Linked DNA regions of Mus musculus: regions 2, 3, 4, 5 and 6 are each reported to be linked to region 1. The links are microRNA targets in miRTarBase. Many come from high-throughput screens and were not tested one by one. Region 1 holds a microRNA gene; each other region holds the end of a gene's coding sequence.

What was found. Region 1 holds the annotated microRNA mmu-miR-343 (UCUCCCUUCAUGUGCCCAGA, at 1,584-1,603, shown strand). A microRNA usually pairs through its seed, bases 2 to 8, with sites in the 3' UTR of a target mRNA and lowers its output. Matches are read on the target gene's strand: a 7mer-m8 pairs with bases 2 to 8, a 7mer-A1 pairs with bases 2 to 7 and ends in A, and an 8mer does both.
Region 2: miRTarBase lists 5730409E04Rik as a target of mmu-miR-343. Seed matches in the 3' UTR shown: 7mer-m8 at 1,393-1,399, 7mer-m8 at 1,689-1,695, 7mer-m8 at 1,725-1,731 and 7mer-m8 at 2,529-2,535.
Region 3: the mRNA of Ncl is a reported target of mmu-miR-343. Seed matches in the 3' UTR shown: 7mer-A1 at 1,389-1,395.
Region 4: the mRNA of Sdc4 is a reported target of mmu-miR-343. Seed matches in the 3' UTR shown: 7mer-A1 at 561-567.
Region 5: the mRNA of Sri is a reported target of mmu-miR-343. Seed matches in the 3' UTR shown: 8mer at 3,477-3,484 and 7mer-A1 at 3,447-3,453.
Region 6: miRTarBase lists Fam81a as a target of mmu-miR-343. Seed matches in the 3' UTR shown: 7mer-A1 at 3,291-3,297.

The regions. Positions count from the first base shown.
Region 1 is chr7:19,385,105-19,390,176 of GRCm38, forward strand. Mir343 (microRNA 343) reads left to right here and starts at 1,539; the gene lies at 1,539-1,613. It overlaps Ercc2 (excision repair cross-complementing rodent repair deficiency, complementation group 2), which reads left to right. Exons shown (of 23, transcript NM_007949.5): 6 at 519-635; 7 at 726-842; 8 at 1,603-1,726; 9 at 1,828-1,924; 10 at 2,009-2,142; 11 at 2,225-2,393; 12 at 3,036-3,154; 13 at 5,003-5,072.
Region 2 is chr4:126,611,828-126,616,899 of GRCm38, forward strand. 5730409E04Rik (RIKEN cDNA 5730409E04Rik gene) reads left to right here. Exons shown (of 2, transcript NM_001145950.1): 2 at 1-2,544. The coding sequence ends at 546. Gm40250 (a long non-coding RNA gene) reads right to left here and starts at 2,958. Exons shown (of 2, transcript XR_868150.2): 1 at 2,830-2,958; 2 at 2,540-2,635. Gm46870 (a long non-coding RNA gene) reads right to left here. Exons shown (of 3, transcript XR_001784444.2): 3 at 4,506-4,634.
Region 3 is chr1:86,346,406-86,351,477 of GRCm38, reverse strand. Ncl (nucleolin) reads left to right here. Exons shown (of 14, transcript NM_010880.3): 12 at 1-111; 13 at 443-666; 14 at 782-5,072. The coding sequence ends at 858. Snora75 (small nucleolar RNA, H/ACA box 75) reads left to right here and starts at 193; the gene lies at 193-308.
Region 4 is chr2:164,421,384-164,426,455 of GRCm38, reverse strand. It overlaps Sdc4 (syndecan 4), which reads left to right. Exons shown (of 5, transcript NM_011521.2): 5 at 219-2,209. The coding sequence ends at 370. Among named protein-coding and RNA genes, the nearest start is that of Matn4, 19 kb to the right of the region's middle.
Region 5 is chr5:8,067,152-8,072,223 of GRCm38, reverse strand. Sri (sorcin) reads right to left here. Exons shown (of 8, transcript NM_001080974.2): 8 at 2,910-4,691. The coding sequence ends at 4,665. Among named protein-coding and RNA genes, the nearest start is that of Sri, 13 kb to the right of the region's middle.
Region 6 is chr9:70,086,175-70,091,246 of GRCm38, forward strand. It overlaps Fam81a (family with sequence similarity 81, member A), which reads right to left. Exons shown (of 9, transcript NM_029784.2): 9 at 3,136-4,717. The coding sequence ends at 4,593. Among named protein-coding and RNA genes, the nearest start is that of Gm39369, 5.7 kb to the left of the region's middle.

The DNA.
Region 1 (5,072 bases):
CCCCAGCTCCTTTCCACCTTTTGTTTGGTGGGTTGCCAGGTTCCCAGGTTGACCTGTGTTTGTATTCCTCCTACTTCAGTGTCGGAGTGACTGGGATTGCAGGCACCTGCTGCCATGTCCAGCTCTGATGGGATGATTTTAGCCATGCTCCACACTTACAGTACTGCAGGAAGTTCTTTTAGCAAATAGCAAATCAGCCAGTTGTGGTGGTGCATGCCTTTAATCCCAGTACTCGGGAGGCAGAGGCAGGCAGATCTCTGTGAGTTCAAGGCCAGCCTGATCTATAAAATGAGTCCAGGACAGCCAGGGCTATTATACTGAGAAACTCTGTCTTTAAACACCAAAAACCAAACGAACAAAAGACCAAATACCAAATCAGGTGAAGGTTTCCACTGCCCCCAAACCCTAGCTGACGTACTACTCCTGGTGTCTGAGTTTGGAGACCCAAGTTACAATAGCTGATATGCACCACTTCCTGTCTCTGTTTTATGTTGTCCCCTGACACCCCGCCCCCTCAGGTGACTCCACTGCGCTTTGGGAAGGATGTTGATGGGAAGTGTCACAGCCTAACGGCGTCGTATGTGCGGGCACAGTACCAGCAGGATGCCAGCCTGCCTCACTGCCGCTTCTATGAGGTACAGGGAAGAGCCTAGAACTGGTGAGCAGGGTGGGGGCCACGCCAGAGCCGCTCTCCCTGACCCTGCCACCCTCTGGCCTTGCCCCAGGAATTTGACATCCATGGACGCCAGATGCCGCTCCCTGCGGGCATCTACAACCTGGATGACCTGAAGGCCCTAGGGCAGCGCCAGGGCTGGTGCCCCTACTTCCTGGCTCGATACTCGGTGAAGAGTTGTTTTGTTTCCTTATGAGGCAGGATCTCATTTGTAGCCCAGCTGGCCTCAAACTTGGAATAACCCTGCCTCAGGTTCTCAGCTGTCAGGGGTATAGGCATGAGCCACCGTGCCCATCCTTCTGCTGGCCCATCTGTCTACTTGACTCTGTGCTGTTACGTCTTTATGTCTGTTGTCTGGATCGTCTGTCTCCGTCCTAGTATCTCTGCTTTCTTGTGCCTTGCCTGGGTGGTCCTTGATGTGTTTATAAAAAGATAAAGGGGGAGATATGTTCTATGGAGGTGTGGGGAAAGGGGTGCCTCTGCAGGCTCATGCTGAGGCGTCCCTTACCCCTGAGGGACCAGCCACCACACGACAGTATAGTATAGAATAGGGTTTATTCAGGGCATGGGGAAGGGTGTCAAGAGGATAGTAGAGGCAGAGAAAGGCGGGGGAGGGAGGGAGGGGGGGGTTGCCCATGAGCACATGGAGAGAGATGGGGGAAGGGACTAGAGGATAGAGCAGGGGCAGGAAGGCAGAGCAAAGCAAGAAAGCAAGGGGGGGGGGGCAAGAAGCCCCTTTTATAGTGATTCAGGCACACCTGGCTATTGCCGTGTAACTGTGAGGTGGAGCTTAGACAAAAGGCTAACAGTCCTGTCCATCTTTCCACCCGTCGTTGTGTCTGTCTTTGTGGCACCTCTGTGTACCTGGGATAGAGTGGGTGTGGCGGGGGTAGCAGAGCCCAGGGCAACCTCTCCCTTCATGTGCCCAGATCCTGCATGCCAACGTGGTGGTTTACAGCTACCACTACCTCCTGGACCCCAAGATCGCAGACCTGGTATCCAAAGAGCTGGCTCGCAAGGCTGTTGTGGTCTTCGATGAAGCTCACAACATCGGTGAGGAGGGCGGGCATCAGGGTGTGCAGACAGTGGCAGCCCTCTGCCTCTGCCCCCAGGCCTGCCTGAGCCCGGCTTTCATCCCTTTGCTCTTTCCTCAGACAATGTCTGCATTGACTCCATGAGTGTCAACCTCACCCGCAGGACTCTGGACCGTTGCCAGAGCAACTTAGACACCCTACAGAAGACCGTGCTCAGGTGCCTGTCTGCTCCCACTGTTGTGTGTGCCTCAGTGCCCTGGGCACCTGCCTCATTCCAGCTCCTGTCCCATGTCCCCATCAGGATCAAGGAGACGGATGAGCAGCGGCTGCGGGATGAGTACCGGCGCCTGGTGGAGGGCCTGCGGGAGGCCAGTGTGGCCCGGGAGACAGATGCCCACCTGGCCAACCCTGTGCTGCCGGACGAGGTGCTGCAGGGTGAGCTACTCCCCACTCCCCCACCACCCAGCCCCTGCCCCGCACACGCACCCCTGTACCACCTGACTGGGTCTCCCTGCAGAGGCTGTGCCTGGCTCCATCCGTACGGCTGAGCACTTCCTGGGCTTTCTGCGGCGGCTGCTGGAGTATGTCAAGTGGCGTCTGCGCGTGCAGCATGTGGTGCAGGAGAGTCCACCTGCCTTTCTGAGCGGCCTGGCCCAGCGGGTGTGCATCCAGCGCAAGCCCCTCAGGTGCGGCCTGCACGGGGAACCACGGGCCCAAGCCTTGTTGCTGATGATAAAGGGGTCTGGACCATAGATAAGGCTAAGGGGCAGGTCAGAACTGGATGTGGAGGGCATCCATTGGACTGTGTGGTTGGCAGTGAGTGCCGCAGCCACGTGTCCCTATGTTGGGTGATGAGCAGGTGACACAGCCTTTGTGAGGCTAAGAAAGTATGTGGCTATTCCTCCTTGAGCGTTGGGCCCGTGACACTGGCTGGACAGAAACAGAGTGACTGCTAGCTGGGAGTCTTTTTTTTTTTTTTTTTGGTTTGGTTTTTTGAGACAGGGTTTCTCTGTGTAGCCCTGGCTGTCCTGGAACTCACTTTGTAGACCAGGCTGGCTTCGAACTCAGAAATCCGCCTGCCTCTGCCTCCCGAGTGCTGGGATTAAAGGCGTGCGCCACCACGCCGGGCTCTAGCCGGGAGTCTTAACAGGATATTGCGTGTGAGCAGTGAGCCTGTGCACTGTATGTGCTGTGCTCCAGCCTGGAGTGGTAGCTCTGGGGGTCTTCTACAGTATGGGGTAGCTTCACACAATGCCCAGGTGCCCAGGGAAACATGGTGAGAGTCGGGCCTGTTGCTGCTTCCCGCTCCTGACCCCGTTGCCTCTCAGGTTCTGTGCTGAACGCCTGCGCTCCCTGCTGCACACCCTGGAGATTGCCGACCTGGCCGACTTCTCCCCGCTCACACTCCTTGCTAACTTCGCCACTCTCGTCAGCACTTACGCCAAGGGTGAGCTCGCCTTTCTACTGGGGATCTGACAGCAGGACTTGGGGGTCAGCCACATGGGTGGGGCATTAGCAGGGGGCAAGACCATACAGAGTGCCTGAGTGAGGAGCCTCGTGGTCAGATTCTCGTGTTCAGAGAACAAGTGTGTGGGCTGTGCTGTGGCACTGACCAGAAGGACACTAGGGGTCACCTCACCATCAGTGGGGTGAGGAGTCCTCGTGTGTGACTGAGGGCACCAGGGAACCATGGCAGGTTCTGGGCAAGGGATGCACTTGGTGAGATTGTTGCTTTCGAGGTTCATGTAGCAGGAAGATGCAGAACTGTGGACAATGGGGACAGGAGAGTGTGCTGGGGAGAACTATGGGAGGAAGAGGCCAGGATGGAAAAGCATGGCGCTGGGCATGAAGCTCTCAAGGGAGGCAGATACAGACTGATGATCCACAGAGGCCTGCCTCCCAGGACCTTCTGGGTCCGTCACTTGGGTCCATCTGTCATGTTTCCTCTGTCCATGTGTTGTGTGCTGCCCCACCCCCCCACCCCCCCAGCTCCACACTGAGTTTTCAGGCTTATCCCTGGGGATTACTGCCGTAGCCAGGAAACCAGGTCAGCTGGCATCCTGCAGCTGGGCCAGCCTGGGCCTCGGAAGGAGGAGGCCCCCCCCATCAGCCCCACTGCAGGCTGTTGGCAGCTGCCTGCTTCCTTAAGCTTTCAGCACTCACCATGCCCCTTTCTTTGGCCTTTGTCTCTTCCTCCTCCCCCACCTACAACATCACAATCGGTAGAAGCCTCCTTGTCTACGCCTCCTATCACCTGCCTGAGTCCTTCAGCTTTCAGAAAGGCACCCAGCCCACCCTATGCGAGGCCTGCCCCTTCTCTATTCCAGCTGCGCCTGGGATCATTACTCTCTGGATAGCTGTCTCCCCTAGTACAAGGGAGCTCTTATGGGTGGGACTGAGGCTGTGTTGGTCACTGCTGTGTCCTTGGCAAGGGCTGGACACGTAAGACCCGATCATTTTTGCCAAGTGAAACAGAACCCATGAATGTATTCATTTGTTCAGTTAGCAAATGGGGCCAGGCCCAGCACTACTGAAACAGCCTCATCCTCCCCTTCCCGGAGTCACAGCCTGGGGGAGAATGAGGAGCAAAGATGGTTCCAGGTGACCCTGGGAAGTGGAGCGGTGCTGCAAGGAGCCATGGCACTGTCCTCTGGGGCAGGGATTCAGCCAAGTGGAAGCTGGCACAGCAGCTCAGGGCAAGGGGGCCCTCAGGTGTCTCACAGTGGGACTCTGGAATATGAACTATCCTTGTTTTTCTTGTCCTTGGTTGTGAAGTGTTATCCCAGTCATGGTACCCTGTGCTGGCAACAGAAAAAAACCAACAACAACAACAAAAAAAGCCAGTCAGGAAGGCACCCAAGGCCAGGTCCACCTGGTTACCAGCCTCTTACTGCCAAAGCCATTGCTGCTTCCCTCAGGAGCGGCCCTCTTCCCTGCCTCTACTTAGCCTGTGTTGGTGGCAGAGAGGCACGGTGAGGAATGGGAGGGAGGAAAGCAGGCAAATCTTGCTCTTCAGCCTGGGAGAGTGCATGACACCCTTCTGGGGTCATGGGAAGTGTGGAAACTGGCAAACTTGGGGTTCCATGACATGTCTCTGGTTGCTCTGCGGGGACAGGAGTGAGAGCCTGGAGGACAGAGGTGCCTGGGGAATGGCGGGCTTGGCTACCTGCGGGACCATGTATGAAGCCACAGCTCACTGCTTCTGCACCTGAGGGTTTGCAGAAGTGGGCAGGCTGGGGCAGTTCTGTCCCGGGGTGATGAGTGACTGAGACTCCCCGGCCTCTCCCTCCACCAGGCTTCACCATTATCATTGAGCCCTTTGACGACAGGACCCCCACCATCGCCAACCCCGTTCTGCACTTCAG
Region 2 (5,072 bases), not on the chromosome of region 1:
GTGCCAGGCAAAGTGGATCCTATTCTGATAAGGAGCTCCTCTGAGTCACCCTCTGATAACCAGGTCTTCCAAGCCACCAGGCTCCCTGAGGCCGGAGTCCGCAGTCCCCCGGAGGGTGCGGAGATCCCTGGTGCTGAGCCAGAGAAGTTGAGCGGTGCCAGCAGTGTCTGCTCTCCTCTGGAGGACATTGGCTATGCCAGCAGTTCCTTGAGCATCGACAGCTTCAGCAGCAGTCCAGAACCTGTCTGCGATACCCCTCGAGGTCCGAGCCCTCTGGATCCCCTTCTGCCCTCCGTGGCCCAGGCCGTGCAGCAGCTGCAGGCTCAGGAGCGCTACAAAGAACAGGAGAAGGAGAAACACCACGCGCATTTGGTGATGTATCGGCGCTTGGCGCTGCTCCAGTGGATCCGGGCTCTGCAGCACCAGTTGGTCGACCAGCAGGCCCGACTGCAAGAGAGCTTTGACACCATCCTGGACAACCGGAAGGAGCTTATCCGCTGTCTGCAACAGAGGGAAGCACCTTGCAGGCACCAGGACCAGGGCTAAGGGTGTGCACAAGTGTGTGTGCACAAGTGTGTGTGTGCACAAGTGTGTGCATTTGCAGGCTTTTGAGTGGTTATACACAAGGAAGGATGTGAGTATTAGCTGGCATGTATGCAAGTAAGCATAAGTGAATATCTATATGCTAACATGTAAGCAGGTATGTAAGGCATGTGTGTTTATGTATGCATGTGTGGCTAGGTACCCAGGAATGTGTATATATATTCCTGAATGTAGAGACAAAAGATATATATGCATGTGTATCAGTTTATATGTACAGGCTTGTGTTGGGTGTGTGTTGAGACTTACACGTTCCAGTGCTGGCATAAGAAACATGTGCTAGGAATGTGTGTGTTTGCAGAGACTTAAGGGCAGGTGTGTGTAAATGTATGTTCAATTGCACCTGCAGGGCGTCCACCCATCTCCTGTGTTCCCAAAGTCTACCCCAGCCTTATATTCTACTGAGTCTCACCTCCCAGCTTCCTAGAGATAGAAGCCTCTCCCACTGTCATAGATCTGAGGGCTGTGGCCTGTTCTCCTGTTCTGAGGGCTGTGGCTGACCTGTTCTCCTGCAGTTTCCCAGGCTACCTTTCCTATCCCTTCCCCTCCAACCTTGCTCTAAGACCACTGTCCCTAATGTTGGCTTGTTCCTAAGAGTTTTTTTTTTTTTTTTAATTTGGGGTGGTTGCTTTTTGTTTATTTTGCTTATTACTGTACAAGGAATTGAGCCCAGAGCCCTGTGCATGCTAGGCAAATGTCCTACCACTGAGCTGCACACCTAGCCCCGGTTCAGAGATTTATTGGCTGCACTGGCCTTCCTGTGCACAGGACAATTTGTGGAGAATTGGTCTCAAGGGAGGGAACTGGCACAGTGGCGGAGGCTGCAGCAGGGGTGGGAGTGGAGATAAAGAAAGATATAAGAAACTGTCCTCTTAGCTGGGTTCTGGTGGTGCACATCTTTAATCCCAGCACTCAAGAGGCTGAGGCAACTGGAACTCTGAGTTCCAGAACAGCCTGGGCTACAGAGTGAGTTCAAGGACAGCCAGGCTACATATAGAAACCCAAAAGAAAGAAAGAGGAGAGAGAAAGAGAGAGAGAGAGAGAGAGAGAGAGAGAGAGAGAGAGAGAGAGAGAGAGAGAGAGAGAGAAAGGGAGGGAGGGAGGAAGGAAGGAAGGAAGGAAGGAAGGGAGGGAGGGAGGGAGGGAGGGAGGGAGGGAGGGTGGGTGTGTTGTTTTGAACCCTGTCTGGCTCCTCTGTGGGAGGTGGCGGTGGGAGAGAATGACTCTGGTAGAACTCTGTGAAGAACAGGAGAATTCCCAAAACACCATCCTGCTCCACTGTGAGGAGAGGCCGAAAGCCATACTGAGTTAAGTCTGTAGAATGGGACTGTGCATATAAGCATGCAGATCATGGGCCAGATGCACCAAGGCCACGGGCAGTTGGGGGACCTCCCTTCTCTTCACCTTTCCCTCCTCTGCCTACGTCGCTTTAGCAGCAGTGAATGTCAGATTGGTTTGGTTCATTTTTCAGAATCGGACTTTCTGGAGAAGCCAGAGCTCAGCTTTCTAAGCAGTCAGAGGACAGGGTCAGTCCAGCTTCCCGAAGCTCTTAGGACATGCGGCCCCTTTGAACAGGGATTGGCAGGCCCTAGGGAAGGCTTCATGCTGTGAGGTTGAATGTGTATTGGGTAGGTCAGTAGTTAAGGTTCTGGAGCCCTTTGTTTTGTTTCTGGGTGTCAAGGTAAGGCAGGATCCTAGTGGGTGAAGCAATGACTCAAAGGAGGAGCAGCAGCAGGTGACAGGGACAGCACCTGTGCTGTGTCTGGCCTCAGTCTCCCCATCTGCAAAGTGGGGACCCTTCCCGCACCATCTCCAAACAGTTCTATCCTTGATGGGAGGGTAGGTGAATTGTGAGCCCTGGGGACTTTTATAGTACTTGCATGTTGAATGTGAATCTGGCCTCTGGGCCGATGCAGCATAAATAAACTAAGGGAGCAAATTCAATTGTTCCAGGATATGTTTTTGTTCTATCTGTTGCCTGGTGGTCTCTTTCACAATGAGTTCCACTTTTAAGCTGGAGCCAAATGCTCGAAGCCTAGGGATTATGGGGACAAGAAAAGCAGAAATCAATCAATCAATCAATCAATAAAAGAAAAGCAGGATTTTCCCAGCAGTGTCAGGGCCTCCCAGGCCGACAGTGGAGATTTGGCCCCTGCTGTAATAGCACCACAGGGGATTGCCCTTGTCCTGAGTCACACTTGTATTTGAACAGATTTGGAAGGCACATACCATAGATCCCTGTCCTGAAGGGTGCCTTGACTGCAAAAGGCCAAGGGTCATACTGGATTTGGTGGCCCAGGTCTTTAATCTCAGTGCTTGACAGGCGGATCTCTTGAGTTCGATGCCAACCTGGTCTACAGCGAGTACCAGGACAGCCAAGGCTATACAAAGAAACTCTGGGCACTGGAAAAAAAATGGCTCCAAGTTTAAGAGCATGGTTGCTCTTCCAGAGGACCCTCCCTGGTTCAACTCTCAGCACCTACATGGAAGCACACAACTGTCAGAATTCTCAGTCCCAGAAAACCCAACACCGGCATATAGACATACATGTGAGCAAAACACCATTCCATGGGGGTTGTGTGATGGGGAGGGGGGACCCTGTCTCCAAAACAAAACAAAACAAAACAAAAAACACGGGGTCCTTACATGGCTCTGACACAGACGTAGTTTTATTTTACCTCATTGTCATACTACAGACTGAACCCAGAACCTGCATATGTGAGACTCAGCCCGATGAGCTGTGCCCCAGCCATAATTTTTAATCCATGCCCGACTGAGATATCAGCTGATAGCAATTTAGATGATCATCTTCTACTATGGTTTATATGATTATTTCTTAAGTATTCAAAACTTCAGGCACTTTAGTTCATGTTTACATGAAGCAGCAAAGTACTTATTTAGCATGTGCACGGCGGCCCCCAGGTTCAGTGCAAAAATAAAAATTAGCATAAATTTCAGGCTCAGGAGTAAATATCTAGTAATGCCAGCACTTGGGAGGTGGAGGCAGGAAGATCAGGAATTCAAAGCCATCCTTGCCTACACAGCCCCTTTGCCTGCTGAACTACCTCATCAGCCCTATACCTAACATCTTTACAGAAAAAGCAATTTTTTTTTTCAGTAAGGAAGTTGAATCTAAAAATTGGATCTTTTTCTTTTAAAACTGGGAGGAGGTCTATAAAAAAGCAAAGTTGTCCAATGTGCACCCCAGCACGCCTTTAATCCCAGCACTGGAGAAACAGAGCTATAGGGGCTCTGTGAGAAAGAGCACAGCTTGGTCTACACAGCAAGTTCCACGACAGCCAGGGCTTCCCAAGTGAGACCCTTACCAGAAAAACATACACATAAACACACACACACAAACAAACAAACAGAAGTTGGAGCATCTCAACCTGGCAGTTTGTAATCTCAGCTTGGGAGGTTGGGGCAGGAGGATCAGAAGTTTAAGACCAGCCTGGAGTTGGAGTCAGAGTGAGTTCGAACTGTTCCTTTCTGTGAAGAGTTCTCTGGGGCTGTGAGATGCCTCTGTGTAGGTAGGGAGGAGCTCTTGGAGCCAGGACTGATGACGTGTTGGATTCCCCAGGCCCTATGTGGTGGAACAAGAAAACCTAATTCCCACAAGATGGTTTCTGATCTCTTCTACATATGGTACACGTGCCCACAACTCATGCACATACATCAACAAACAATTGTTAAAAACCATAAAAACTTTGAAGAGTTCTTTGAAGGCTGAGGGGTGGTTAGCATGAGAGAGATGCTGGGTTTGAGCCCCAGTTCAGGGTGGGGAGGGTATAAAGTGGGAGCTAGGGGGCCATCTTAGTTAGGGTTTTGTTGCTGTGAAGAGACACCATGACCAAGGCAACTCTTATAAATGCAAACATTTAATTGGGACTGCCTTACAGGTTCAGAGGTTCGGTCCATTATCATCATAGCAGGAAGCATGGCAGTGTGCAGGTAGACACGGTGCTGGAGGAGCCAAGAGTCCTACATCTTGATCTGGAGGAGCCAGGAGACTCTCCTTCCATACTGGGTGGAGCCTGAGGATACACATCAGACCTCAAAGCCCTGCCTCCACAGCGATAGACTTCCTCTAACAAGGCCACACCTCCTCCCATAAGGCCAGACTTCCTTAAGTGCTACTTCCTGTGAGCCAAACCTACTCAAAACAGCACCTTGAGCTGAGCATAAGGTGAGAACCAGGCTGACGAAACCATGAGGTACAGGACTTTACTAGGCATTTGGGTCTAGGGATATGCCCAGTGACTAGGGTGGAGGGAGATTTGAAAAGACGACTGGCCAAAGCCCCAACCACTTAGGGGCCAGAAGGCAGGACCCCAGTGGCTGAACCAACCAAATCCAGGATTGTAGTTCCCCATCAGGTGTGAGGAGCATAGTCGAAGTTCACACCTGATGAGTAGCTGGGGCTACTCCATACCTCATATTGGGCAGGCCTGGGGTAGACTTAATTTCCTCAC
Region 3 (5,072 bases), not on the chromosome of region 1:
GTTTGTCAAAGGTCTGTCTGAGGATACCACTGAAGAGACCTTAAAAGAATCATTTGAGGGCTCTGTTCGTGCAAGAATAGTCACTGATCGGGAAACTGGTTCTTCCAAAGGGTAAGAAGGCGTAGTAGTGTTGCTGCTTTTTAGTGAATTCTGCATGGAGAACTTGGGTCTGCAGTATCTTCTCATTGAGCTCCTTTCTGTCCATCAGTGATAGATTATGGATTCGCACGAGAAGAAGAGAGAATTCACAGAACTGGCACTTATCTTCTGTTTTTGCAGAAGTATATTTGGCTGTTGTGTGAGACATTATGAGATACTGGCGATTTTCTCGACCTGAAGAGTACTTTGGTCACTCTACTTGGGTGACTTGGTACTTATTGTGTTACTTTAAAATGTGTTTACTTAATGGGTGAGGTTTTTTTGTTTTTCTTTTCTGTTTTAGGTTTGGTTTTGTAGACTTTAATAGTGAGGAAGATGCCAAAGCTGCCAAGGAGGCCATGGAAGATGGAGAAATTGACGGAAACAAAGTTACCTTGGACTGGGCCAAACCTAAGGGTGAAGGTGGCTTTGGTGGTCGAGGTGGAGGCAGAGGAGGTTTCGGAGGCAGAGGTGGAGGCAGAGGTGGAAGAGGTGGATTTGGAGGAAGAGGCCGGGGAGGCTTTGGAGGTAAGGAAGGGAAAGGAACTGGAAACGGATTCCTAAACCTGTGTCCTAACCAACCACCTTAAATGGGAAGGTCAGTCCTAATTGTATCACCCTTTGATGTTTTTCCTTCCTATAGGTAGAGGAGGCTTCCGAGGCGGCAGAGGAGGAGGGGGAGACTTCAAGCCACAAGGAAAGAAGACGAAGTTTGAATAGTTCCTTCCATCCCATTCTTTCCCTCTTCATTTTAAAGAAAGGACTCTGGGGTTTTTACTCTGTTACCTGTTCAATGACAGAGCCTTCTAAGGACATTCCAAGACAGTAAAGATCCTAAACTCTGTTGCCAGACTTAATACTTCCTAGAGGTTACATTTGGATTGTTGCTTAAGAGCTTGGCAAGACCAACTCTGCCCAGTGGGAATTTCAGTTGTGTTCCTACTGCTTTCAAGAATTCCCAGCTACAAATGTGGAAATTGGTGGGGAACAGCTTCATCATGATTCTGATCTGGAAGATTTAATTTGTATCTTAGAAGGGTGTGTACTGGAAAAGTGGTTGATAGAGCACATGGATCAGTGCTGGAAATACCATACAAGAGCTTGTGTGGTATGTAATTCTATTCCCAGCATAATAAGAACAAACAGTACAGTGCAATCTGAAATGACCTGGACAAGGAATGGTACCCCATTGGGTTGAAAAATTCACATAGCCAGGATGGTTGCACATGCCTTTAACCCCAGCACTTGGGAGGGAGAGGCTGGTAGATCTGAGTTTGATCTGGTGTACAGAGAGTTCCAGAACAGCCAGGGCTGTTTATTAGAGAAAAAACCCTGTCTTGAAAAAACAAGAAAAAAAAACCTCACAGACAACCAAATACAGAGTTTTAGCCACTGAGTACCAAGTCTCAGCAGCAAGCTGGGAGTGACGTAATCCAATCCCATGGGAGGCTAAAGCAGTCTATGACTTCAATGCCAGTTGGGTCTGCAGAACTGAGTTGCTGGATAGTGAGGGATACTTAGAAACTTTGTCTTGAAAAAAAAAACAAGACCTGTCAAATTTGAGAGAAGCTTTGGGAAACAAGGTTTGTAAGTTCCAACAGAGGGAACAGTGGCCTTTTTGACTTAAAGGTTGTCAGAGGTCCAGTTTAACTAGGGATAATACAGTGGCCCTTGGCCTGTGTACTTAATGAATTTTTCAGTGATCTATCAAGGATGTTTGGTTTTTTTGTTTTTTGTTTGTTTTGTATAAGGCATGGGTGCCTAGATAACCTTAATAGAAACTTTCCTGTAGGTGTTTTTCCAAGTCCCACTCCCAACAAACTGATTTTCAAGAAAGACCAGTCAGCTATTCTCAACCAAAGACCCTCTGTAGGGTTGCGCTTAGCACCTGTCTGGTGGCTTGAGTATGTGGTATGACCATTGCAGTCGCAGTCCTGTCTAAAAGTGAGGATGGCGTGGGCATTAGATTTGTGTAGCAGGGAACAGTTTGGTGGGTTCTTTTGCTGTGGGGAGTGGAGCCCTTGATTATGTTAACCTCCTTGTTAAAGATTAATGGCATGTAGCTGAAGGCACTCAGCTGTCATTAATCCTAGAAGGCAGACCAATTTGAGGCTAAGGAATTCCAGAATAGCCAGTGCTACACAGAAGACCCCCAAGACTACAATAGCAAAGGAAAGGTTCAACTCTGGTGCTAGCAGACATCATTTTTTTGTGGATTGAGGACATAGTTAACCTATAGGATCATCAGAAGATTTACAGTTGAATAGCTCTCCCTAAACGAGGCAGACATTTTAGAAAAGCAGCAAACCTTTCTGGAAATGGTTGTTTGCTTTCTTTTCTCATTCTTCCAGCAGGTGGCAACATGAGAACTGAAGAAAGGGTGGAGGGAAGGCAGTTAATCTGCCTTCACCTAATAGATAAACACAAAGCTCTTATTCTGGTGGTAGAGTAGCTTGTAGAGGTCTTTTAAAGAGCAACAAAGCTTTCTCATTTGAAAGATTCACTTCAGCTGGGCGTGGTGGCGCACGCCTTTAGTCCCAGCACTTGGGAGGCAGAGGCAAGTGATTTTCTGAGTGAGTTCGAGGCCAGCCTAGGTCTACAGAGTGAGTTCTAGGACAGCCAGGGCTACACAGAGAAACCCTGCCTCAAAAAACAAAAAGATTCACTCCTGACCATTTATCACCTGCTTTTGACTATACACTACCCCTTCAGTGTGGCTTTTTTCCTACGGATGCTAGTGATAGGAGTTACCTAATGTAGTTTTCAGTTCAATCTGCCTGAACCTTTTCAACTCTTAAGGAACATAGGCAGATGCTAAGGGTGTAGGTCTTGACCCTATACTGAGGTAGAAAGGAAGGGGAAATGGAAGAGGAGCATGTACTCTTTACTTCTAAGCTGGATCTATAGCCTTAGGATTACCATCTATAACAGGCTAATTTCATTCAGTTAGTGGTAAAACCCTTTGCCATAGAATAAAAGGGCTCTCAAGGTTCTAGTAGTAAAACAAGTTTTGGTTGCTGTCCTCCATTAAGTGCCTACTAAATGATAAGTGATGGAGAGGATGGAACTGATTCCAAGAAATACTCAACAGTGAGGACTTATAGGCCACTTAACCTGTGTGTGCTTGTGGGATATTTCTACCTTTTGAAGCAGGGTCTCTTATTTTCTTACTCACTACAAGCTTTCAAGTACTTCTGGCAATACGAATGGGATTAGCAATGCATGCCATTTCAGTGGCCTTATCTGGGTTTCAGGGGTCCTGGTCATCAGGTTCTCGCTGGTAAATCTTAAAGACCACCGTCTTTTTTTTTTTTTTTTTTTTGAGACAGGGTCTTTAGCTCTGTGGCCATCATGGAACTCAATAGGTAGACTAGGCTGACCTCAAGATGTCTGCCTCTTGAGTGTTGCATTAAAGGCCTGTGCCACCATGTCAGGCTCCATTATAGAAACACACTACTATCAGAAGGATGATAGGCTGAGGCCCATTTTTTAACCCTTTGAAAAAAATTCTGGCTGGGCAGTGGTGACACTGCCTTTAATCCCAGCACTTGGGAGACAGGCAGGTGGATTTCTGAGTTCAAGGCCAGCTGGGTCTATAGAGTAAGTTCCAGGACAGCCAGAGCTATACAGAGAAACAAAAAAAAAACAAGGGTTTATTGGGGAGGGAAGGGAAGTACTTATTTTGAATAAGGTTTTATTGTGTATCCCTGATTGTCTTTGAAATTAATTTGCTTCAACTCGAAGTGCTGAGACTGCAAGTATGTACAACCACAGTACTCTTAGGTTCTAACTGAATTCTCACCCATTATTTTTCAAATACGGCCTTTCAGTTTTATTCTCTACTGGACTCTTAGATAACCAGATACTGGCATTGAAACTAGTTTTTTTCTCTTTGAATATTAATTTGGATACATTCTATTGTTTTGGATTCTAGTTCACTGATTCTTCTGTTAGGCCCTTTAGTGAAGCTTTCAGGTGTCTTTAGTTTTTTTTTAATTTGTGTGTGTGGGTATAGTGTCTGTATTTCTCCATGTGCATGCAATGCCACAGGAGGCCAGAAGAGGGTGGATCTTCCAACCTTTTTTTTTTTTTTAAAGATTTTTATTTTATGTATATGAGTACACTGTAGCTGTCTTCAGACACACCAGAAGAGGGCATAGAATCCCATTACAGATTATTGAGAGCCACCATGTGATTACTGGGGATTGAACTCATGACCTCTGAAAGAGCAGTCAGTGCTCTGAACTACTGAGCCATCTCACCAGCCGCCTTCAAGTTCTTGTGAACCACCATGTGGGTACTGTGAATCAAACTTGTGTTTTCTGGACTCTTAACAGCTGAGTCATCTCTCTAGCCCTTCAAGTGTTTCCTTTCTCTTCTAGGTTTCCAGTTTATGAAGCCCCCATTTTGTCATTTAAATTCTTTTCCTGCAAATTCCTATACATCTACAATCATTGAAGTCATTTGTAAATTTTTTTATGTGCATTAGTATTTGGTCTTTATGTGTGTGAGGAGTCAGACCCACCATGTTACAAACAGTTGTGAGCTGCTATGTGGGTGCTGGGAATTGAACTTGGGTCCCCTGGAAGAGTGACCAGTGCCCTTAAGTCGCCCCTTATTTGTAGTTTTAACAGGAGTTATGGTTGAGTACTTGTTAGGATTATGAAGAGTTGTTTCTCTTTCATTGCATGTCTAAACTGGACATTGACCCATATTTAGAGGCCAGCCATGTGCTAATTCAAGTACATTTTGTACTGGCATTCTTAAGTAGCTAGCAAAATCTGAGTTTCTGTTTTTCATAGAATATGATGAGATTTACTTTAAAGCCAGGTAATGTGTTTATCCTGAGAATACCAGCTGTGTATTTTCTTGAGCCAACCAAATTGAAAGTGAGGAGTTTCAGTGATTAAACACTGGCTGTTTACATGCAGAGA
Region 4 (5,072 bases), not on the chromosome of region 1:
GCTAGGGCAGCAGATGTGGGATGAAATAGTGGTGTTGGTCCACTCTAGCTGTGATCTTAGTCTTTCCTCTCTGACGGAAGTCATGAAGGTCGATGCTAATGAGGTGTCCTCTTGCTTGGTCTAGGGGGTGTGGTTATGGTGAGATTGACTGGCGGTGGGCGGGGCTGAGGAGCACATGGACCTGGAGCCAGCTCACCCCTTGCTCTCTCCTACTGCAGCTCTGATCGTGGGCGGCGTGGTAGGCATCCTCTTTGCCGTTTTCCTGATCCTGCTGCTGGTGTACCGCATGAAGAAGAAGGACGAAGGCAGTTACGACTTGGGCAAGAAACCCATCTACAAAAAAGCCCCCACCAATGAGTTCTACGCATGAAGCTTCCTCCCGCGAGCGCTGCTTGGACTTATTGGGGAGAGGAGTGGAGGGTTGTGGGTGGCGGGCGTTGGCAGAGAGCAGCAGGCACCTTAATGCTGACTTGTCAGTATCTCCATCTCTAGTCACCTTTCTGGTGTCAGAAGAGATGTGATCTTCTACTGTGCTGCCTGAGAGAGAGAGAGAGAGAGAGAGGGAGAGAGAGAGAGAGAGAGAGAGGCTGTGTCTGTGTGTCTGTGTCTCAGTTGCTCTGGCAGAAAAATGGGGTTAAACTTGCCCTTTCTGAAGGCAAGCCTAGAATTGGGTCTTTTGTTGTCATTGTTCCAAATTTCCAGAATAGAATATAGGACCAGTTTAGATCCTGTAGTAAACATGTCCCATCTATGACTGCCTTGATTATAGAGGCAAGGGGTTACTGTGTGAATCCCGGCTCCCTTCCACATGCTGTACACCCTATCCATCTGTCAGGAGCTGGGGCAAGGAGCCAGAACCCTCTGCGCCTTGAGATGAGTCTGCCATGAGAACTTGCTCACGCTGCAGAGTCTCTGTGGCGTACCTGGGGGCATTCTAAGTCCAGTGACTTTTGAAATTCAACCTTTTTTTAAAAAAAAAAAATCTAGGGAGGGCGGGGTGAAGTGCTGAAAGCTCACACTGAAGTGTGTTTGTAGGAGATTCATAAAACTAAGTTTTTAAATGGTTCATTCCTTTATGGGAGCGTCTGCGCCTGGGCTGAGTGTGGGGGATACACAGATGTTCTATCTAGAACATTTCCATTGCAACAGCTAAGTTTGTGTTTCGTGGTTTTTTTATGTTTTGTTTGTTTTTTGAAAATGAGAGAAGAGTTGGAGATATGATTTTTATGATTTTTTTTTGTTTTTTACTATTTATAGCTTCAGACAGGGCTGCTTTTCATCTTTCTATTGTCCCCCATGTTTTTTTTTTTTTTTTTTTTTTAATGCTCCGTGTCCTTGTTTTTGACCTTGGCCCTTCCTGAAGTTGCTTTATCTTACGAAGTAGCTACAGGGTTCTAGCAGTTTCCAGAATATAATGTAGGGGGATAGCGGGATATTTTTGTTTGTGTTCTTGTAATATATTATCCTTCCTTGGTTCTAGAAGAATAGATAAATATATTTTTTTAGGCTATAGAATGATATTACAGGTCCCATGTTGGCTGGATGGTTGCGTGAGTTTTCGTGTGGCTGAAGAGGCTGCTGCCCTCTTACCTTGCCCTGTTCCCGGTGCCTTCTTGCGAATGAGCTAGAGTAGTTTAGGGTCCCTGACTCGAACCCTCACTGTGCCTTCTGCCGGGGAGGAGGGGCTCCTGGGCCTGCTTCCTCCAGGCGCTCTAGATGCACAATCCAATACAGTGGCCTCGTGTGGCTGTATAACTCGGTTCACTTCAGACTACGTGATTGGAAGTCATTCCTCGGTTGCACTAGCCACACAAAATGCTCAGTCACCATCCCCCGGGCACCGAGGGTTAAGCTGGTTTAGCAGGTCATTGCTCAGCTTTGCTTGTCTCCCTGGGCAAGGGAAGGGGACCAGGAGAAAGGTGATGAGGCCCCAGGGACTCCTGTCATCTGGTACTCTCCCTCTTACAGAGGAGAGAGCTAGTGGCTTAAAAGGCCTGGGGTGGTGGGGAGATCACACCACTCTCAACCATACTCTGTTCCTGTGAGGCCCCCATCACCACCTCCGTGCAGGGTCCTAGCTGGCTGGGTCCTCTTCTAGCCTTGGTGCCTGCTCCTTTTCTGCACCATTCACACTGTTGTCTGTTACTGATCTTTTTTTTTTTTTTTTTTGATAAAAAGATAATAAAACCTGGTACTTTCTAGATTGTCAGCCTGTCAGTTTTATTTTTGGTTTCTCAAAACAGGGTTTCTCTGTGTAGCCCTGGCTGTCCTGAAAAGCATTCTGTAGATCAGGTGAACCTAGAACTCAAGAGGCTGACCTGCCTCTACCTCGATTAAAGAGGTGTGCCATCACACCCGATGCCATTATAAGATTTTGGGTTTCTTTTTAAGCTTTATTTTTATTTTATGTGTATGAGTATTCTACCTGCATGTACACCTGCGTGCCAGAAGAGGGCGTCAGACCCCATTACTGATGGTTATGAGCCACCATGTGGTTGCTGGGAATTGAATGCAGGTCCTCCATGAGGAGCAGCCAGTGCTCTTAACCACTGAGGCTTCACTCCAGCCCATTTTAAAGGGTTTTTTTTACAAGCCATTCATTCTGTATCCCTTGAACTCAATGAAGCCAGAGGGAGACCTTTTGGGGTGCCAGACACGGGCACAGACACGAGACAGCAGTAGGGCTTTGGAGGTAGGAGAGATGCCAGAAAATGTGCCCGTTGCTCTGGGCAGCACATCCTGTCTCTCCCCATTTTAATTAAGCAACACTAGGTTTAAAAACAAACACAGGCCACAGAGTCCCTCGGGCCTTTGGGATGGCTCAGAGTCTTAAGAGCACTTGTCACGCCAGCCTGAGGCCTCCAGTGTAAGTCCTGGACACAACGGGAGAGAAGCAGCTGCTGACGTCACACTCCGACTGCCACAAGTGAACCGTGGGGGCCACACACACTTGGACACACGTGGACACACACGCTACTTAATAAATCAAAATAGGAAAAAATAACCCTCAGTTGAGTCCCTGTGTGTAGAAATCGTAGTACTTCTCATAAAAGCCTTAGAGCTGGAAGACAAATCGACTTTGCCAGCTGTCAAGACTGTACTATAACCAGACATGGCTGAGAGGAAACAAGGCCCCAGACTGGCTCTTTCGTGACACAGTTCCTGCCTATTTCCGTGTCACCTGCCTGGTCTCTGTGGGCTGTGCTATAGTTGTCACACTTGAGAGTCTCATAAGCAGTAAAGGGCCTGTTGCCAAGGATCCCACCTGTCCTCAGCTTATCTTTGCAGAGTGGAGCCTCGATTTGTGGCCCGTTGACCTTGGTGACTTGGGTTTGGCACCATGTGGCCCCATGGGAAGAAGCAGCCAGAGGACTTAACTACACCAGCCAGGAACTTGGTGTTTCATGGTTGGGCCTGTTAGCACAGCTGCAGGAAACAGTCGTTAGAAATGGGACAAACTTCATCTGAAAGGTTAAAAGAACGTGTCCAAATCGATCGTTCACCAGTGGCGGAGGTAGGATTTGAATCCACATAGTGAGGGCCTATCAGAGGGTTTCCATTGCTCACAGTCCCTTCACTGTGGGGGTGGTCGGCCTTCACAGCACCTGGTCTCATATCTCTCTAGGGACCCTAAGTTCTGTTTCCTCGAGTCCCTTGGGTGAGTTTCTGGCTCTCGTAGTTCACCGCTTTTCCTGTAGCGTGAACTCTGAATGGGCTAGACCTGCTCAGTTTGCACAGCAGCCACCAGCCACCATGGCTCTTTAACATGTAAAAATGGAGTTGCTCAACAGCTACGTGTAGCTCATGGCTCCGGGATGGAGTGGGCACAGGATGTCCACCGTGTAAGGACTTTAATGATACCTGCATTTAGACTTCAGACGCCATCGGCTGTTGCCTTCCTTTCCCATAGTCTGCAGTGGGGAAGGCCAGAGGTTGACTGTGTGCCAAGTGGCACTTCTTTGGGTAAGATATTAGCGTCAAAAATGTTGGTTAGCTCTTCCTATGGAAACATTGTCCTTAAATTTAGGGCCTTACAATGACAAACATCTCTCATGGTTCCCATGTGTCACAAACACAGGAGCAGCAGAGGTGTCTCATGCAGTATTACACAGTCGTCATCCAGTTATGGGCTACGTTATAGACATCTGGAGGGCTGACTGGGCAGGAGGCTCTATTTCCAACTGAGAGAGTGCGTTCACAGGTCTGGAAACTTGGCTCTAGCTGTCTGGCAGGAGGTCTCAGTTGCTCACCTCACGGATTAACGTAGAAATGTGTGTCCTCGTGACGTGACCTGGCTTCCCAGAGTCAGTGATCCGAGAGAGCCAGGTAGAAGCTACAGGGCCTTTTAGGTTTTAGCTTTGGAAGCCACACACTTTCCCCTGCATAACATCAGTCAGTCAGGAATACAGGTCTGTCCTGTTGACTACCACAGAAAACAGCACAAAGGCAGGAATGTTAGGAGAGGCAAGGCTGACTGGAAGCTCTGCTAGTCATATTTCCTGACTGACCAAACATCTGAGAGAAAGGCATGGGGATATATTTTGACTTGAGGCAATCTGTCCTTATCTGACTCTGTGTTTCTGGGCCCTGGATGAAACAAAAACACGGCACAAAGGCGTGTTGGGGCAAAGTTACCTCATGGTATGCAGTAAGCAGGGAGAGACAAGGAATTGGGGACAAGCGTAACTAATTTTTAGGGCACACCTGTAGTAACCTCCTTTCTCAAACTAGGCCGCACCTCTCCCGTGCACCACCTCCGAAGGACGCTATATTATAGATCCATCAACGAAGGCATTAATCCAGTCATTTCCCCCGAACTCTTGGCAAGCAAGCCTCGGTGAGGTGGGCACTTCATATCCAAATCAAAATAGAAACCATCCCACAGGTTGTGACTGTACACTTTGTCACCTGTCAATCCGACACTGGGGTTGTCTGGCAGGCGAACACTGATGTCATTTCTGAGAAGTGAACAGGATTATTGTATTGATCCACTCTTACCCCATGATCTGCCAAACTCCAGAAACCTTTGGAGCACTGACCAAGGCCTTGTCTTAGTCAGGGCTTCTATTCCT
Region 5 (5,072 bases), not on the chromosome of region 1:
AGTGAGGAAGCAAGGGACTTGTCTCCTGAATTCTCTTGCCCTCATGAAGTTTGGCTCTAGGTTTTGCCCCACAGCCCAGGGCTGTACCTCTACTGCCTCTTGCCTGAGTCTTTGATGGGTTTGTTTTAGGTTCATGGGTTCACTGTCTGAAACCGGTTACCCCTGGTCTTTTTAGCTTGTCCCAATCAGCCATTTGAGTTATCAGTCATTACAGTAGCATTTACAGTTCCTTGTCCTTTGGTCTGCATAGGTGAAGTCATGAAATCACTGAAAAAAGCCCATACATTTATTATAATATTAAAAGTTAGTGACTGCATGTGTTTATTATAATACTAAAAATTGGTGATTGCATGTAGCTCCATTCCTTGTTTCTAAAATACTTTAGTCATATAATTATTTGTACCGACCCTGAAACAGCAATGCAAAGCAATCTGGAGAAAACCAAAAGGCTTAGCTGACATAACTGACGTGTCACCTCAGGGCTGATGTTACCATTGCATAACACGCTATCACGAGAAGAGCTAGAGCCTTTTAATCTCCTGACTGTGTGGTGCAAATGTCTGGCAGCAGTTGCTAGGATGCTCCAGGCCTCTACCTGCTACATTGCTATAGAAGTCTGCAATGTGCTAAAAGTTCTTTACAAACCATGTAATCACCCGATGTGATAAAACTAAAGCGTGCATCTCCAAAATAAAACAATCCCCAAATGGGGTGTGCGATCCCACAGATTCACCATGCTCCAGTTGTATGCTCTAACTGAAAAGGAAAAACTGAAAAAGGAATTCAAAAGAGACGATAAGGCCTGGTGTGGTGGCTCCTCCTTAGAATCCCAGCACTCAAGAAGCTAAAGGAGAAGGACAGCAGTGGGGATGAGGCCAGGCTGGGTGGCAGACACAGGTACCAGACAGTGAGAGCAAGAGGAAAGGAGAAAGACGGGAGGCACTGCCCGGGAAGCAGAGAATGGAGCAAACCGACATCAGAAATAAGCAACACAGGACGAGCATCTATAGCAATGAAGTATGATGGCATCCAATGAGAGGGAAGGGTATACTGCATTCATCACGGGGGAGGGAATTTCCTAACTACACGGGCAAAATGAAGAGTAGATCCAGTGCTTGCTGGAGAAATGAAAACGAAAAGAGAGGATGCCTGGACACTTGCCTTTAACCATTGACTGTTAGAACGTGAATAATAAAGCACAGTATATAATACCTGAGGATGTACCTGGAAGCAAATTCAGAACTGAAATCTAAGTAGCACATCTTGGGGCTTATTCAAATGACAGGGCAGCTTAAGTATTAGGGTTTTATAGGACAGTTCCAGGCTCTTCATTTTCTGGGAACCCTAGGTCCTTTTCTGGGCAGCATGGGCCCAGGTCAGAACAAAGCTTTGTGACAGTTCAAATAAAACATCGACCCAGATGTCCCATAACAGAATAATAGATACAGAAAATGTGGTTCATTTACCCAATGGCATACTACTCAGCTATTAAGAACAAGGACATCATGAATTTTGTAGGCAAATGGATGGAACTAGAAAATAATCATTCTGACTGGGGTAACTGAGACCCAAAAGGACATGCATGGTATGTACTCACTAATAAGTGGATTTTAGCCAAAAAAAAAAGAAAGAAAGAAAGAAAGAGAGAGAGAGAGAGAGAGAAAGAGAAAAAGAAAGAGAAAGAGAAAAAGAAGAAAGAAGGAAAGAAAAAGAAAGAAAAAAGCTCAGAATACCCAGGATACAGTCCACAGGACTCAAGAAGGTTAACAAGCTGAAGGGCCCAAGTGAGGATGCCCCAATCCCACTTAGGAGAGAGAAAAAAAGCAATCATTGTTGGGGGATGGGTCAGAGGGAGGGAGGGACTTGGGTGGGAAAGGGAATAGAGAGGAGAAAAGGGGAACATGATGAGGTATTACAGGGAGGGTGGTGGTGGAAGGAAGACAAGACTGAAGTCCTAAGGGCCAGCAGAAAGAATGGAAACAGACAAGAGGTAGGAGGTTGCAGGGACCCTCTAGAATGTGCAAGAGACCTCGGAGGTGAGAGACTCTCAGGATTCAAAAGGGAAGGACCTTGGATGAAATGCCCTACAGAGGGGAGAGGGAACTTGTAGAGTCCACCTCCAGTAGAAAGACAACATTAAGTGGAGGGATGGGGTTGCCATCCCACAGTAAAAAGCTCTGATCCAGAATTGTTCCTGTATGAAAGAACTGCAGGGATGGAAATGGAGAAGAGACTGAGGGAAAGGAGGTCCAGTGACAGGCCCAAATTGGGATCCAGCTCAAGGGGAGGCCACCAAGGACTGACACTATTACTGATGCTATTGTGTGCTTACAAACAGGAGCCTAGCATGACTGTCCTCCCAGAGGCCCAACAAGCAGCTGAAAGAGTCAAATGCAGATACATAAACCCAACCAATGGACAGAAGGTGGGGACCCCTGTAGTTGAATTAGGGGAAGGCTGGAAGAAGCTGAAGAGGAAGGTGACCCTGTAGAAGGACCAGCAGTCTCAATTAACCTGGAACCCTGAGATCTCTCAGACACTGGACCACCAACCAGGCAGCATACACCAGCTGACATGAGGCCCCCAACACATCTACAGCAGAGGACTGCCAGGTCTAGGTTCAGTCAGAGAAGATGCACCTAACCCTCAAGAGACTAGAGGCGCTAGGGACTGGGGAGGTCTGGTGGGGTAGGGGTTGGGGGGTAGGGACATCCTTTTGGAGACAAGGGGGGGGGTGGGCGCAGGAATGAGGTATGGGATGAGGAACCATCACAGGGCAGACTGGGAGGTGGATAAACACTAGACTATAAAAAAATAAAGAAAGAAAGAATTTTTTAAAAAATCTGAAATGAATCTCAGGTTTACCACTGTAAGACACATCAGAAAGCATTCCACTTTGACATGTAACCTGAGCATTAAGTATTAACTAAACACATAGTAAGTTAGCAATGAATAAATACTCATGAAGTGACTGAATATATAATATATGCATATATTTTATATATATATATAAACACTATCTGAACATATATTTGTGAAACGAGGATGAAGATGCTTATGGAATGTTTATTTCACCAGTTGTAAGTGAATCGTTTACTTGGATGGTCAGATTCACATTGTGCCAGAAACAAGACAGATACATTGCTAGCGAGAGAAGACTTAACCATTGTTAGCTGCCAAACTGTAACAACAAAACCCTGGGGATGCTTTTTACTCAAATATACCTTTGCATACTCAGAACTACTTTAATGGTAATTAGTCTTCTCTTTTCAAAGATAGGGACCTGAGTGTACTGTCATTGCCTAAAATGTCCAAGGCACATACATAGCAAGGCATTTCCAGCAAGCCAAATGATTAAACATTTGGAAAAAATTCTCTCTCTCTCTCTCTCTCTCTCTCTCTCTCTCTCTCTCTCTCTCTCTCTCTCTCTCTCTCTCCTCTTTCTCTCTCCCTCCCCTCCTTTCCCCATCTCTTTCTCTCCCTTTGTGTGTGTGTGTTTGTGTAAAACCTAATACGCTATTAGAGAATACTTGGAAATTGAGTTGGAAGGAAGACCCTACTCCCTGTAGTTAAAGGCAGATCATTAATTAAGATGTTCATTTCAGTTCCTTTCTTGTGTTAAAGATCATGAGCAAATGACATTCAAAAATGAATGCCAACAATTTTTAAAATGAAACCTGCTTGGTTTTACTTATTCTTTATTACTTTTTAATTGTGTGTGTGCATGCATGTTTGCACTGGGATATCTGCAGGTGAAATGAAGGTGACCATGGGGCCCGAGGCAGTAGTAAGCCACCCAACATGGGCGCTGGGGACTTTAGTCCTCCATAAGAGCAGTACATGAGTATTGCTGAGCTGTCTCTCCTCCCCTGACATCTGGTTGTAAAATGAAAGCATGCACATTATTAAAAATTTGGGAGATACAGAAATATATAAAGGAAATTAAAGTCATCTAGAATCTTATTAGTCAAAAATAAACAGTTAATATATTCTTACTTCACTTTAGTCTTTTTCTGACAATTTAAGCTGACAGTATTCAAGATCTTTAAGTATAATTAACAAAAGTTTGGGGTAGATGGCAAAGAAGAACTTGGTGACAGTATTTGCCCCTCATGATCTATAGGTTTTTAGGAGGCAGACAGTAACCATTCAATATCTCTAAGTCATAAGGCTTTCAACAAGTAAGTCGTAAAACTTATACTTTCTAGTATGTGGACTGCCAGGTTCATTGGTTTGTTTTGCCCAACTGTGGATGTATGCCACTTAAGAATACCCCACACAAACTTTAACCACATTCCTCAGGGAAAGAAACAATAACAGCTAAGATGAAAAAATTTCATATATCACAAGAAAATATGTAATATATGTTAAACATTTTGCATACTTTATATAAAAGAGGGTTAGCAGGAAAATAAGGCATGATTGATAATGGCTCAGGAGGTTCTGACTGGTATAACAGACTTGTTTTTATATCATTAAACTTCAAAGGAATTTATTATCAAAATGAAAAATGAAGCTGTGGCTCTATATAAAGTCATAATCCCGTTCAACGGTTGTCAGGGAGTGGCTGTCGGTGGGGTCTGCACACAGCACTGAAGGCAGAGAGGAAGCAAGGGCGAGTTCCAGTTGGAATGTTGAATATATTCAGACAGTTTGCTCTTGAGTTAGACGGTCATGACACACTGGATGAACTGAGAAAGAAAACCAGTGTTACACTACGGTCTGCAAGGTACTGAGGGTGCCATAGCCTCTGAGGTGCCATAGCCTGTGAGATACCATAGCCTGAGGTGCCAGAGCCTCGTGATGTCACAGCCTCTGTGGTGCCACAGCCTCTGTGGTGTCCCAGCCTCTGAGGTGCCATAGCCTCTGTGGTGTCACAGCCTCTGTAGTGCCACAGCTTGTGAGGTGCCACAGCCTCCCTGTGGGCAGCTTCCATTTTAATTCTCTATGTTGGCATCAAGGGTAAACAAGAACAACACAAGTCCCAACTTTCTACGTCATGCCTAAATGAAGGGTGGGAAGGTTCTTACTTTTAGGGAAACTTTCTTTTGTAAAGTCTGACAAGTTTCTCA
Region 6 (5,072 bases), not on the chromosome of region 1:
ATACAAACCAGACTCACTTGGGAAGAAAGAAAGTCATCCCATTATCTAAACAGCAGGTCTGTGCAGCATGATTGATGATGGATGTGGGAGGTTCCTGCTTACTGTGGGTAGAGCCACCCCACCCCTCCGCAGAGTTCCCAGGCTGTATAAAAGAGCAAGCGGGGCAAACTGCTGGAAGCAAGCCAGTAAGCAGCACCTCTCCCTTGGGGGTCTCTGCTTCAGTTCCTGTCCTGATTTCCTTGGGCCATGGAGCACGACCTGAGAGTTGTAAGCTGACACAAACCCTTTCCTCACCACCACATCGTTTATGGCCGTGGTGTTTTACCACATCGTTGCTCAGCGTTGTTCAAGCTTGCTTCTGCAGTTCAGGATCATTTGTGTTTCCGTGTGGATTTTGTATTTTTTTCTACTTCTGTTTAGAATAACATAGGAACTTTGATGGAAATTGCGTTGAATCAATAAGCTGTTTTGTAGCACGACTTCTTTCAATTTTTTTTTTTTTTTTTTTTTTTTTTTTTTTTTGGTTTTTCGTGACAGGGTTTCTCTGTATAGCCCTGGCTGTCCTGGAACTCACTTTGTAGACCAGGCTGGCCTCGAACTCAGAAATCCGCCTGCTTCTGCCTCCCAAGTGCTGAAATTAAAGGCATGCACCACCACGCCCGGAGACTTCTTTCAAATCTTAAGTCTGCCAATTCATGAACATGGGAGATCTTTATACCTTCTAGTATCTTCTTTGATGTTCTACCAAAAGGAGTTATATCCCTTATCTTTGGCATAAAAGATATATAGCTACCGAGCTGGAGAGATGGCTCAGCGGTTAAGAGCACTTCCAGAGGACCTGGGTTCAATCCCCAGCACCTACATAGCAGCTCACAACTGTCTGTAACGCCAAGATCTGACAGCCTCACACAGACACACACAAAGGCAAAATACCAGTGCAGATAAAAATAGATAAATTATAATAAATAAATAAGAGACGTGGCCACCTGTGGTGCCTATTAGCATAGCAAACCTCATGCTGGTTTCCAAGCAGCTCTTGGAGTCTTTAGTGTCACAGTCCCTGTTATACATTTCAAAGTTCAGGCTCCCATGCCAGTCCTTCTCACCTCCTCCTGGACCCTCCCTCCCTCCAGTTCATGGCTTCCCTCCCCAGATCCTCTGTTCTCCCTAGAACTCTGCAATTCTTGCTATGCTTTTTCTCTGTGTTCAGCTCCTGCCTCTCACACTCTGTTCTCTCTGGTTCTCTGGTCTCTTACGGTCTTCCCTCTCTCACAGAACCCTGGTCCTGTCCGTTCTACTCCTTTCTCTCTGATCTAGATTTTTCCAGATGCCTGTGGCTGGCCTCATCTCATATCCACAACAAAAGCCTTCCCCTTAGCCGAGCCAAGGAGTGGTCTAGTCATCAGTGTATATAAAACCCATAGTGGGAGGAGACAGCTGGCTCCTGCAGGTTTCCTCTGACCTCTGTATGTGCACTGTGGCACCCCCCACATGCATACAATTATGTGTGTATACACACACGATACATAAAATGTAATTTAAAACAATAACAAGCACAGTGCCTCGCCCCTCTAATCCCAGCCCTTGAGAAATAGAGGCAGGGGGATTAGGGGTGCAAGGGCATTCTCATCCACATAGTGAGTTCAAGGTCAATGTCGGCTATGTGAGAATGTCTTTAAAAAAATAAGCGAAATGAGCAAGGATGGTCAGACAGAGGCTGGGGGTGATGGCCTGTCAGATAGAAAAGCCAGGATGCATAATCGGGTGCTTCCTAGAGTCGGGCTTCCTACTTATGAGCAGTAGGATTTGAGGTAAGTTGTGCCATTTTTCCGTGACTGTAAAATGACGGACAATGGTATATACTAGACACTGTTAAACAAAATGAGTGAGCACACAGAAGCATCTCAGCGAGGGGCTGTGGGGATGGTGGGCAGCTAGCATCACTTGATCTTCCAGAGAGCAGGTGTTTAGTTCCTAGCACGCATGTCAAGTGATTCACCACCATCTGTAACTCCAGCTCCAACGGATCCGATGCCCTCTCCTGACCTCCGTGAGCCAATGTTCACGTATGTATCACACGTGCACACACGTATACTCACGCATACACATATGTACACGCACACACCCAATGGGATTTTAAAAAATTTTTAAAAAGAGCCTCAACACAGACTTAAAAAGGTCCTTGGCACATAGCCATCCAGGAACTGCTCACTGGCGCGACTCCAGAGGCAGCCTCGAGAAAATCAAGCAGTACGTCCCCTAAGGCAGCTGGCCTGCCAAGGTTTTCTTCCCACACTCAAAGATTCTTCGCATTTAAAAGTCCCATGCCACACTTATTTGGAAATTTTATTCTCTTTATTGCAAATCTCTGGTAAAGGAAAAGACAGGGCAGCTGATTCTCCTTTAAACTTTGGCGAGAAGAGTACTCCATTGTCTTCGCAGGATGGCTGGCCTCCCCATAGCACACAGAATCGCTGGGGGTGGGGGGGTGGGGGGGATTCGGGATAGGGCTGTGACACATACTGGTTGGTGCTGGTGACTGCCTCCCAGATGCTCTGACTTAATGGGTCAGGAGGTTGTTTGGTGTCAGTTGCTCTTTAAACTCCCCAAGTGACCCCAAGCAGCCAGGGTGGAGGGTCCCTGCCACAGTGTCTTGTCACATGGTCGGCAACGTCTCGAATACCTGGCGGTATCACCAGCAGCTGTGTCACCTGCTTACATCACCTGCTAGGCCAGGGTCAGCAGGTGTCCCCTGTCTCCTCCTCCCAAGTGTCCTGTGTGCTCACCCTTCCCCCTTAGAGTCCCCAGGGGAGAGAGACACTGAGGAGGTGTGGCCCTGTCCTGAGTGAGATTTGTGCTTAATCACTCGATAAAACATGGCTAGCCGAGCACACAGGGAAAGAAGAAACCACACTGTCTGGTCACGAAGCATCGCTGACTTCTCCTAGGTGGGCAGATCCTCCTGCATGGAGACGAAACGATGTGTGGGGAGATGAAGAAATGCAGGATGGGTACATGTTCCTCACATAACCTCTCATGCATCCAAACTCAAATCAAAGTTTTCAAGGTCCCAAGAGTAGAATATTAGGTACTTTAGCAGCATATCTTACATGGGTCAACAGTAAGAGCCAGGTAGAATCTCAGTGTGGTTTATTCTAGAAATAGAAAATGCTTTTGATTTTCCTGAGTCCTTGCACATGAGAGAGGAAAGGAAAGGATGGGGTGTTGTTCTTGGAACTTTTAAATGCTCCTGTTCTCTCTCTCTCTCTCTCTCTCTCTCTCTCTCTCTCTCTCCCTCTCTCTCTCTGTGCCCTCACTTTAACACAGAAGTGCAAATGGCACAGGCTCAAGTCTTCAATGACTCAAACATGGCAACTGAAAATAAAACGCCTGCAAAGGTGCCGGGACACCCGTCTCCTCGCAGTATTACAAATGTAGTCTCGCTTTGCCTCTCTGTCCATACAAAGGTGTGTGCAGCTATTCCATGAAGGATGCTGAGTGCGGCCCACCATGACAGCGATGAAATCATTAGGATGCTTAAAATTACATAGGATCTCAGTCTTACACCACAACCCTGATGTGTTTACCACACTGTCTATTTTGTGGGTAATTTCTTTTTTTTTTTTACAGAGGACAGTACAGCGACGTAAGAAAAAAAACCAAGGCACAAGATAGACAGTTACAACAAATGTCTATAAACCCTAGCACGTAGTGCCTGTTTAGGGAACATTTAGGTAAATCGTAAAGTCTGAAAAATTCTAACATTCATTACAACTGATGAACAATTAGCTGTTCGATAAACAGGTTGCTTAGCCACCATCCCATTATTAAATATATGGCTATCACTACACAGGTTGTGAGTGGTTTCAAAAATAGCTTTAAATAGTAAAAGCCGGTACCCCTAGGTGGATATAAATATCGTGCCTTGTGGGATCTAGATAAACGTTGTAAGTTTCTACTTAATTTATAATCTGTATGGCAATTATCAATTTTAAAAAACTATTTTCATTATATAAATTGCAGGGCTTTTTTTTTTCTCTCCCAGTGTTAAACTTCTTCTCTACAAAAGACAGGTGATTTACAAAAAAAAAAAAAAAAAAAAAACCCAACATTTAAAAAAAAAAAACCATATAGACAACAAAAATACAATCCAGATGTGGACTTAAAGCTGAACTCTACCAGGACTTCTCTTAATGTAGGGTGAGGGGCAATACATACCTGTAGCAACTCATTCACTTTTTAATCAAAAGAAAAATCACCATGGTGGGTTTTTTTTTTTTTTCCAAAATAGTAGTCTTGGCTAGAGCATCAAGCATTGAAAATAAATTCTTTTCATTCATAAAAGCCTTTCAAAATCTGAGGGAATCGGGCTCAACTGCACTTAGGGAAATAACGTTGTAAAAATTGTATTTACGATTTTAAGTAAAGGGTGTTTTCAAGACTGAAGGTAAACGCTTAGACCCATGAGAGCGCATTTCTTGGCACATGCACACCCTGGATGGGATCCGGAACATAGCCACGATGTGGCTGCAGAGCCATCTGGCTCTTAGCCCCACGTGCAGTCTCCTGTCAGGTCCTTGTCCCAGCCGTCTTCACATGGCGGTCTCTGGCTTCTGCATCTGCTGGATCTGCTTCTGAAGTTGGTCCCTGTCCAGCTTCATCTTGGCCTCCAGCACTTGTCTGAGGGACCCTATGCTCTCATAGATGGCTGAGAACCCTTGAGGAAGAGGCAAAGGTCACAGGAGTTAACAGCTAAGAAGCAGTGTCTGACCACCTTCTACAGCAATAGTGCCGATTGGTTCTGACCGATACTGAGCCCTTGGGTCAGTGCTGCATGGGAACCTCCATGAAAATTGTGTTTTAGACGCAAAGGGCTCTACTGCAGTCAAGAAAGACAGTAGATGCAGATTTAACCAAGTGACCAAAGCTCACACCACTATCACCAGGAGAAATCACAGCATGTATCTGCTGATCAGATGGCCGGAGCAGGGCGTCTGTCCATCCCGCCGTTCCAGGTTATATCATAAGAAAGTAATCAAACTGCACCTGGGGAACTTTCTGTAAAACACTGC